Linked DNA regions of Arabidopsis thaliana. The protein of the gene in region 2 purifies or fractionates together with the protein of the main gene of each other region. This does not show direct contact. Each region holds a gene or a part of one and is shown on either strand. Other genes may lie near its edges.

Region 1 (5,928 bases), on a different chromosome or scaffold from region 2:
ATCCAAAAATTATGTTATCAGATTTTTTTCTTTCTGATGAATCATTATTTTATTATTTTTTACGTATTAATGTATGAAAATATTTATATTTTTTTTGTTTCAGGCTGGCAGAATTAACATGGGCTTGGATAAGACGTTTCTTACACATAATTTTCCGACATCCACTAGAATATCATCAATATATAATATGAAGAATTATTAAAATTGTGAAAATTCAATAAAACAGATCATTTATTTTTAGATCAAAATCATATTTAGGGTCTCACAATCAGTCAATCATCCCATGAGGGTGAGACTCTTTATCAGATTTAATTATTGTATCGCTTAGTAAACTATTGTATATAAAAGAATAACCACCGTGAATTCTTCTTATTTAAGGAACCAAAGAACTCATTGTTTTTTTATATAAATGATCAGTAGGGGATGGTAAATCGCCTGTTTGTTTCTTACCAAATATTTTCAGTAGTTGAATCGAAAATGAGTAGAGACAATAGTCAATGGAAACGTGAGATGTGAATACACAAGTGACCTTAGTTACTTGAAGCCACCACATGTCGGCAGAGAGGTACAGAAACCAACACGTACCATCTTTCTTCCTCTCATCTCATGCAAATGCGATCACACAGATCTGCAGATCACTTTTTTTATTTTTGGAGACAACCTTACCTGTTGTGTTTTATTTTCTCTTTTCGGTCTTATATTCTTCCACCTCATTTCCTACTTATTTTTTCTTTCTTTTTTCTGATAAGATCGCAGATTAGGTTATCAGGGATAAGGATTTTTTTGAAAGAAACGTAATTCTGATAATTGGCTTAACATTTACGTATATCTCCTCTAATTAGTTAAATACGGAAAACTTCATCAACATCAAAATCTCTAAGTTCTTGTCTCCACAATCATGAGTCATGCAAAACACCATTATCAAACAAACCAAGGAAAACAGCAAAAAAGAATGCAAAACACTGTGATTCCTTTTGTCTGGGCATCGAACCAGGAGTGAGTGTGTGTACCTTTCATTTCTTTTCAACGACTCAGAGTAGTTTCTTCAATTCTTCCACGAAACGATCTCTAGTACATGTTTGATCTTCTTTCTCTTCACTTCCCTTCTCGAGCTTCTTCAATGTCACAAAACTTCCACTGAGTTCTTTTTCGCCTACCATCACCATCCAAGGAATCCCTGATTCCTTTGCACGATTGAAATGCTTTTCTTTCCTCTTGCTCACTAGATACTCTGCGTTGATCTTAGCACCCCATAACTGACTTACCAGTTCTGCTGCTTCCGCTAGTTTATTATCCACCATTATACTAACCAACACCTGTGTCTCCGTTGGTCGAATCACCTATATTCATAGCAAATAACACAAACTTCAAAAACCATTCTTTTAAAACAAGGTCGACAAACAGCATAAGGGTTTGGCAAGTTACTTGTTTCTGTTTCTCGTTAAGTTCTTCCATTATGTTAAACACTCTCTCGATTCCCAGGCTCATCCCAACCGCAGGGACTTGCTTTGTTCCAAACATTCCTATAAGGTTATCATATCGCCCACCAGCACCAATTGATCCCACCTGCAGAAAGAAGAATTCAAAGGCCATACACTACAATTTCTTTAATTGAATTGCAGGAAGCCAAAATGCGGGATTTTACCTCTGCTCCTATACAAACAGCTTCAAAGATGACGCCGGTGTAGTAATCAAGACCTCTAGCTAGACTTAGATCAAAGACTATTCTCTCACTGCACTTTGATCTTTTAAGAGCTTCAAACATGATACTCAACTCATCAAGAGCTTCTCTTGATGACTGGTTATCTAAGAACTCACTCCCTTCTTGTCTCAGTTTAGACAACAGCTCCAAAGGAGCTCCCTTCTCCTTAACGAAGTTGCCAATTCTGTCTGCAATCTCTGAAGACAAGCCCTTCTCCTCCACCATTTCTTTCTTCACTTGCTCAAACGATTGCTTGTCTAGCTTGTCGATACTCGAACAGATGGTTCTGAATTTCTCAGGTGGTACTCCACATATCTCCAGCATTCCATCAAGCAACTTGCGGTGATTCAGTTTCACCTATTTAAACAAACCAGAATTAAGAACATAGCCAAAGAAAAAACCAACCAGGAAAGATTAAGACTTTCAACTTAAGTTATTACCTCATAATCTCCTATTTCTAACTCATCGAGGAGTTCAGTTAATATCTTGACAATTTCAAAATCGGGTCCCATTGGTTCGAACAAACCAGCGATATCAAAATCACACTGATAAAACTCTCTGTATCTCCCTTTAGATGGATTATCCCTTCTGTACACCTTTGCTATTTGGTATCTTTTGAATGATGTGATTCCATTCATAGCCACATACCGTGCAAATGGAACAGTTAGATCATATCGTAAAGAGCAAAGCTCTCCACCCTGCAATTAATAGATCCATATGAGCTCAAATTTTGACAAACAAATCATCACATAAACTGATGATATTACAGCAGCCAAGAAGAGTTCTACCTGATCAGCAATATCATAAACCAATTTCGAGTCTTCTCCGTACTTTCCCATAAGGGTCTCTCTCAATTCAAAAACAGGAGTATCAAGTGCAGTTGCACCATGCCTCTTGAAAACGTTTTGTATGATTGAAAAGGCTTTTTCTCGGACTGCCATTTGTTCTTTAGCGAAATCTCGAGTTCCCTGTCATAGAATGAAACAAATCAGAAATTAACTCTGAGGCCTAAACCTTCTCCATATACGAGATTGTAATTTACCTTTGGAAGCTTGGGAAGTCTCCTATTTTCATTACTTTCTACAATCTCTTTCACTTTATCCAACAAGCTATCAAAACTGCGACCCTCTGGGTTGAAAAGATTTAAGATTTGCTCCCCACATTGCATCAATGAATGCATCTGGTCACCATCACTTGCTGCGTCATTACTCACCAATCTATCTTTGATAAACTGGATAACTAGGCTTGTCCCCTTTCCCACAACTGCTTTTTTCTCATTCTTCTTCTTTTTCTTATCGGTCTTCGACTCTTCTTTGTCCGCATCTCCGCTCTTCTGAACAAACAATTCTCCACCAGCAAGAGCAAAAAAGGCAGCAACTGCCTCCAAACCAACAATTCTCCATACAATTCCCAGACACTCATTCAGTTTGTGAGCAAACCTGCAGTAATCCTCTTCCAAATGAGCAGTATAAGCTAACTTATAGCTATTCTTTAGATTCTCATTCTCAACACAGATCTTTTCAGATAAACATTTCTTCAGATTCTCATCCACAATCTTCTCAAAACAAAGCTTAGCACGAAGGAACGAACACACTCCCAAGTTTTTAATCGCCGTTAACAAAGGTAACAATGTTGTTCCTAAAGCCTCACCAATCCCAGTGTTTCCAGACCCAGTTTTGCCTCCTTTAACACCGGAATTCAATTCTCTCCTAGCATCCGCGTGCACGCTTTTCACCACATACCTGAATTTCCCATGAATCCAAGGGATTTTCGAAATCTCTTCTATTTCTAATTTCCCTGTACCTTTATACCCGTTAAGCAAAACCTTGAGATCACCAGCAACACCAATCACATCTTTATCACCATTCCCATCTCCTGAATCCAACAAGCTAAACGAAGCTATATCAGCCTTTGTAACCTCACAACTCAACGCAGCAACAGAATCCACAATCTGTGAAAGAGTCGTCGATTTGTGATCTATAATAGAACAAATCCCAATCAACGAAGCACACGACTTCTCCAACACAATGTTTTCCCCTTCTGTCACATCAATCTCACCCAATTCCAAACTCTCAGCCTTCAAATTCAGAATCTCAACAATCTTAAGCGGAAGAACAGAACGAGCGGTGGATGAAGAAGGAGGACCAGAAGTCGACAAAATAAGCTTGTTTAAGAGAACAGCCAGAGAAGCTCGAGTTTCTTCGTTCGTTAACCCTTGAGGGATACCAAAGGAGCTCCTTTTGATCGATGGAACGTTTCTAGTGGAGAATCTCTCGATCGCAGAAGAGTCAATTCGAACATTAGCGACGCCGGAAGCAACATTGTAAACGGAGGAAGAAGATAAAGAAGAACCTTTCCCTCCGAGAGTGATGGACGATCTCTCCGCCGCCATTATCACACACAGAGCTGAAGCCGGAGTGATTAGGGTTTTCTGTCTTTCGTTGTGTTTGACCTAAAACGAAGCACTGTGAAATTGCAAGAAGGCGGATTTAGAAAATTGGTAAACTGCAAAATGACCCTCGAAGTATCCAGTTATTGGAAATTGATCTACGAAAAATGCTTGTATGGATACTTCAAGGATCTTTTTGCAATTTTCACTTTACGAAATGTTTTTTTTTATCAACTCGAAACGGATTCAATAGTTCAATAATCATATTCAAAGAAGCCAACTTTTACTCTGATAGCCATTACAGAAACACAAAGCACAAAAGTAGTAGCTTACAGATTTTAACAAATCAACAACATCACTTGTGTCCTTTTAAACGGATAATTCAATCTGAGAAACAAGGATACCATCAGTATCTGCATAAAGCCATTCGCCATCGCATATCCGAGTGCCTGCAATGTTCAAAGAGACTCTTTGTTCACCAAGTCCTTTCTTACTAGCCTTTATTGGATGAGAAGCTAAAGCTCTCACTCCAATGTCGCAACCATTGATCTCATCAACGTCTCTGATGCATCCATTCACTATGATCCCTGCCCATCCGTTGTTCTGCGCTTGTACGACCGGGTTTCCTCCTAGTATCGCACAGCGTAAACTCCCTCCACCATCCACCACAAGAACTCTACCATTGCCTGTTTTAACATTTAAAACATTATTGAGCTTTTGATGTGAATGCTACAGAGAACAGATTGGTTTATTGACTCGGGTTTTTGAAAGACCTATCTCGTCTCTAGTATTCAAGAACTTGATTAGCAAAGTGACTGAAGAAGTATATAAACACTGAGCAGTAGTTCTAAATCATAGAGAGATGATCTTAAGACTTCTTCAAACATAGTTTCAAGCAAAGAACAATTGAAACTATTTGACAAGTAAGTAACACAAGAATTGAATCTAAAATGTAACAATACCAATAAACCATGTCAAAGATACTCTGAAAGTTCATAGCTCTACGAGTAAAGTTTCAGTCTTTTGAATTTTATAAGCAAGAATCATTAATACCTTTCTCTTCGAGGAAGTGACGGATTAAGCCATTGTCTTCAAAGACTTTAACAGTAACTACTGGACCTGAAAATATTTGACGACGACCATAAATCTGAAAAACGGGTTGCAGAGCTCGGAGCTGGCCACTTCGAATCATCTCTTGATTCGCGTCACACACTTCCGCAGTGGTCACAAACGCCATTTTTTCTTCTCACCTGAATCAAGAATTATGATCAAAACAAGTAATCTGGGGATTTGATTATATGAGATTTACGAGAAATTACTCAAACACAGAAAGCAAAAGACAAATCGAGATTAGTCTAGATAAAGTGATCATATATATTCTCAGTCAATCAATCAAAACCCAGAAGGAAAGATACACACTTTTCATTCAATTCACAAGAAAACTATTTCAAAATCCATCTGGGTTTTGATCGAATCTTATTTCATTTACCTGGAATAGAAGAAACTAGGACGAAGAAGAGAACTCTGTGTGCGTAAATCTCTGAGAAATGAAGTGATGATAATTTAAAGGAGAACAAAGTCATCAACATACTTGTTTCGGTCGTTCAATAATATTAAATTAGTGACTTTTAACTTTACTTAAATCAGATGGAAGGTGGGTTGTCGTTAAGCTTCGAAAAAAGGAATCTTTGCGTTGCCTTTTCTCTGGTTTCGACTCTGTTTCCTTGTTATCCTTTTCCTCGACGCTTTTTGTACATCTCACAAACTTTGTGACATTCATTCATTAATTAAGATAAAAACGAAAACTTTATTATTGCCTGAGGTGCTTGGAAGTTTT
Region 2 (2,946 bases):
CACGTTCCACATCATCATTGTTCCAAACCCGGACCTGTTCCTTGACGAGCACTTCATAGAGACGCTCTGTAAATTTGTGGCGCGCGTCTCTTTGGAAACTGAGGAATACATCCCACTCGAGCCTCGAACGCTGATCGGAAACATCGCCGGTCTTCACCATCTTCGATTATTTCCTCTTCGAAATTAAAGTTTTGAAAGATGGAAAAGGTGCAGAGAAATTCTTTACGTGAACCCGGAGAGAAAGATTACATTATAGCGACATGGCTCTTATACAAACCGAAAACGTCAAGAATTTCGATTTCTAATGCCACAATGTTAAAATAAGTTTGAAAGACAGATTCTTTTCGTGACAATGGAGAGAATTAGTAAGCTTCTTCTTTTCTTTTGTCGGCTAAAGCATAATTAGCTTTTAGTTACAACATAGTTAGTGCTAAAGCATACACAACACTTCTTAATTCATGTAGTATAACTTTTTGTATGGATGCATTGACTTTTTGAAACATGGAAATTCCTAAGTTTGCTTTTCCATGATCGAATCCGTCATATTCAAAACGATGGACATAGTTTACATAAAATAAAATAAAGCACATTGTAACTAATCCAAATTTCAATTTCCTCCCAACACACTACAAATGCTTTGTCTTCTCCCCTCAACATAACCTCAAAGGATGAGAGATTTGCAAGAGTTCTGATCTCCAGCTCATGTGGTTTCACAATCCCCAGTGTTAATGCATTTCCAGACAGAGCAAACGCATGGAACTTTTCATTTCTCTGTCTCTTTAGCGACTCTGCAGCTCTCAGTGCCCTAAGAGTTTTCACGGTCGCTAGAACCATGTCCATTTCAGTTTCCACCTTCTCGTTTGTCCACATCTCTATGGAAGATGGGTAGTCACATATCATGATAGACGCCTTTCGTTCAGAGTCTTGCGATGAAGGCAACCGCTGCCACAGCTCTTCTGTAATATAAGGCATAAATGGATGCAGCAATCTCAAACCAGTCTCGAGACACACCCAGAGAGCATCTTGTGCATGAATCCTTCTTTGAGTGTCAGCAGAAAAATAAGGCTTAATTGCCTCGATAAATACATCACAGAACTGGTATTGCCACCAAGCATACACTGTTGGCAGCATCCGATAATGCAAACGCATTCAAGGAATCCACTGTCTTCGATATTGTTAGTAAAGAAAGAATCCATTGGCAGCTGAAGGTCATGGTTTTAGGGCGTAGAGTTTGCACAGGAGGAGTATACCCATCGCCAAGCTTCATCATCGCAAATCTGACAGCATTCCACAGTTTGTTACACCACTGGCGGTAGCCATGGAATTTGGATTTCTGTATTTTTAACTAAAGAAATCCTCTCAAATCCTCCAAAATCATTAAAATTCAAATCCACAAATTGTTTTTAATAACAGTGGATTTTAAGGTGGATTTTTAAATCATTAGTTCAATAACACTGAATTTCATGAAACTTTTTAAAATTCATGTTTGAATAACATAGGATTTATAAATTCTACACAAATCTCTTAAACTTCCACTTTCAATACACCCCCTTATTCATTTACCTTTTGGTAAACAAAAAAGTAGGACACGAGTAGCAAAATATTTTATTCTATACTTATTTAAAAACATGTATACACACATGTCATTATTGGATTTTTGAAGCAAAGTTAGAAATAACAAGATTCAAGTTTCTTAGCTCTCTCTCGTGCACTACTCTCAGCCTCTGCATTGCCTTCCATGGAGTAACTTTTCTCCTGCAACCACAACGACATCATTTTCTCATAGCAAAAACACATATAGTACACTAAAACAAAGTGATGTTCTGCTTTTGAATGTATACCAGCAAACGCCACATGAAAGGAATACCATCTCTGGCCTTAATCCTCTCTCTGATTACTTCTTTGGCTGCATACATCAGAACCACGATTGTTTATCATCATACTAAGCAAGACGAGTATCCAAATTAGTAAGACTCTACAACAAGCCTTACCCGTGGAGGATTGGCCTGTCTTTAGCAGCAGCTGGCACCACATTTCGTTGAAAACATCTATTTGTTCGTCTGATGCCCCAACGATCTATTATTAACCATAAAACAGTTTAAAAGATCCACCAGAAATGTGTTTGATTCAGAGTATTTTGAGCAAGTCGCTGAAGAACGGTTTACCTTGTAACCAATGGCGTTGAACTCTGAACCCAGTAGTTCTAGAGCCTTTTCGTAGTTACCCCTTGCGTATTCATACACAGCTTCCCCAAGCTTATATGAAAACAAGACTGATATTGAGTACTAGTTACAATGATAAAGAAAGACGATCAAAGAGGGAGGGGGAATAAACAAACCTGAATCCCTTTCTGCATCACTTGTTGCTTCTTCTTGTTCTTCTTTGATAATCTGCAAGAACAACACAAGTTCATGACAAATTCGGTATCATTTAGAAACTGCAGAATAAAAGAAAGTCACACTAACCGGAACTTAAGGCCCTCAAGTAATTCATGAGCTCTTGAAGTCTCTCCAACCTTTGCTAGTGCCCAAACTATCAATATATCAAGGTGCCACTCCAAATACCAGTTTGCCTGAAATGTTAAAGCAAGTGGCCGAAAAATAAAAACTTATTCAACAAGATAACTCGTATAACTGCAACCGTTTTGGGATGATATAAAACTAGTGTATGGCTTACCTGATTAGTTAAACGAACTGCAAGGTTTTTGAGACGGTCTTCAAAACCATCAAGAGCATCTCTTACATCTAAACGTATCAACAAGCCCAATGCATTGAGATAAACCTAAAGAGTTGCAGACAGTTGAATATTGAATAGATGACGCAAAAGCATAAATTTGTTAATCAAAAAGAGGATTACTTCAGGAGGAACAGCATCGTCTTTCTCCAATTCTTTCCAGATGTGATGATCATAAATCTCCTCTACTTTACTCATTGGGGACCCTCCTTC

The links.
Region 1: the proteins of AT1G27160 (region 2) and AT3G02760 fractionate together in Arabidopsis thaliana (co-fractionation; one large-scale study listed by BioGRID). This does not show direct contact.

The regions. Positions count from the first base shown.
Region 1 is NC_003074.8:596,557-602,484, forward strand, and holds AT3G02760 (Class II aaRS and biotin synthetases superfamily protein), read right to left. Parts: upstream 4,228-5,928; 5' UTR 4,095-4,227; coding exon 2,745-4,094; intron 2,671-2,744; coding exon 2,491-2,670; intron 2,401-2,490; coding exon 2,143-2,400; intron 2,060-2,142; coding exon 1,646-2,059; intron 1,567-1,645; coding exon 1,426-1,566; intron 1,341-1,425; coding exon 1,032-1,340; 3' UTR 549-1,031; downstream 1-548. Other genes in the region: AT3G02770 (Ribonuclease E inhibitor RraA/Dimethylmenaquinone methyltransferase), read right to left, coding at 4,461-4,777, 5,145-5,328.
Region 2 is NC_003070.9:9,430,791-9,433,736, reverse strand, and holds AT1G27160 (valyl-tRNA synthetase / valine-tRNA ligase-like protein), read right to left. Parts: upstream 1,320-2,946; 5' UTR 1,150-1,319; coding exon 547-1,149; downstream 1-546. Other genes in the region: AT1G27170 (transmembrane receptors / ATP binding protein), read right to left, coding at 1-160; AT1G27150 (Tetratricopeptide repeat (TPR)-like superfamily protein), read right to left, coding at 1,669-1,755, 1,842-1,906, 1,992-2,076, 2,166-2,255, 2,339-2,390, 2,466-2,572, 2,677-2,781, 2,857-2,946.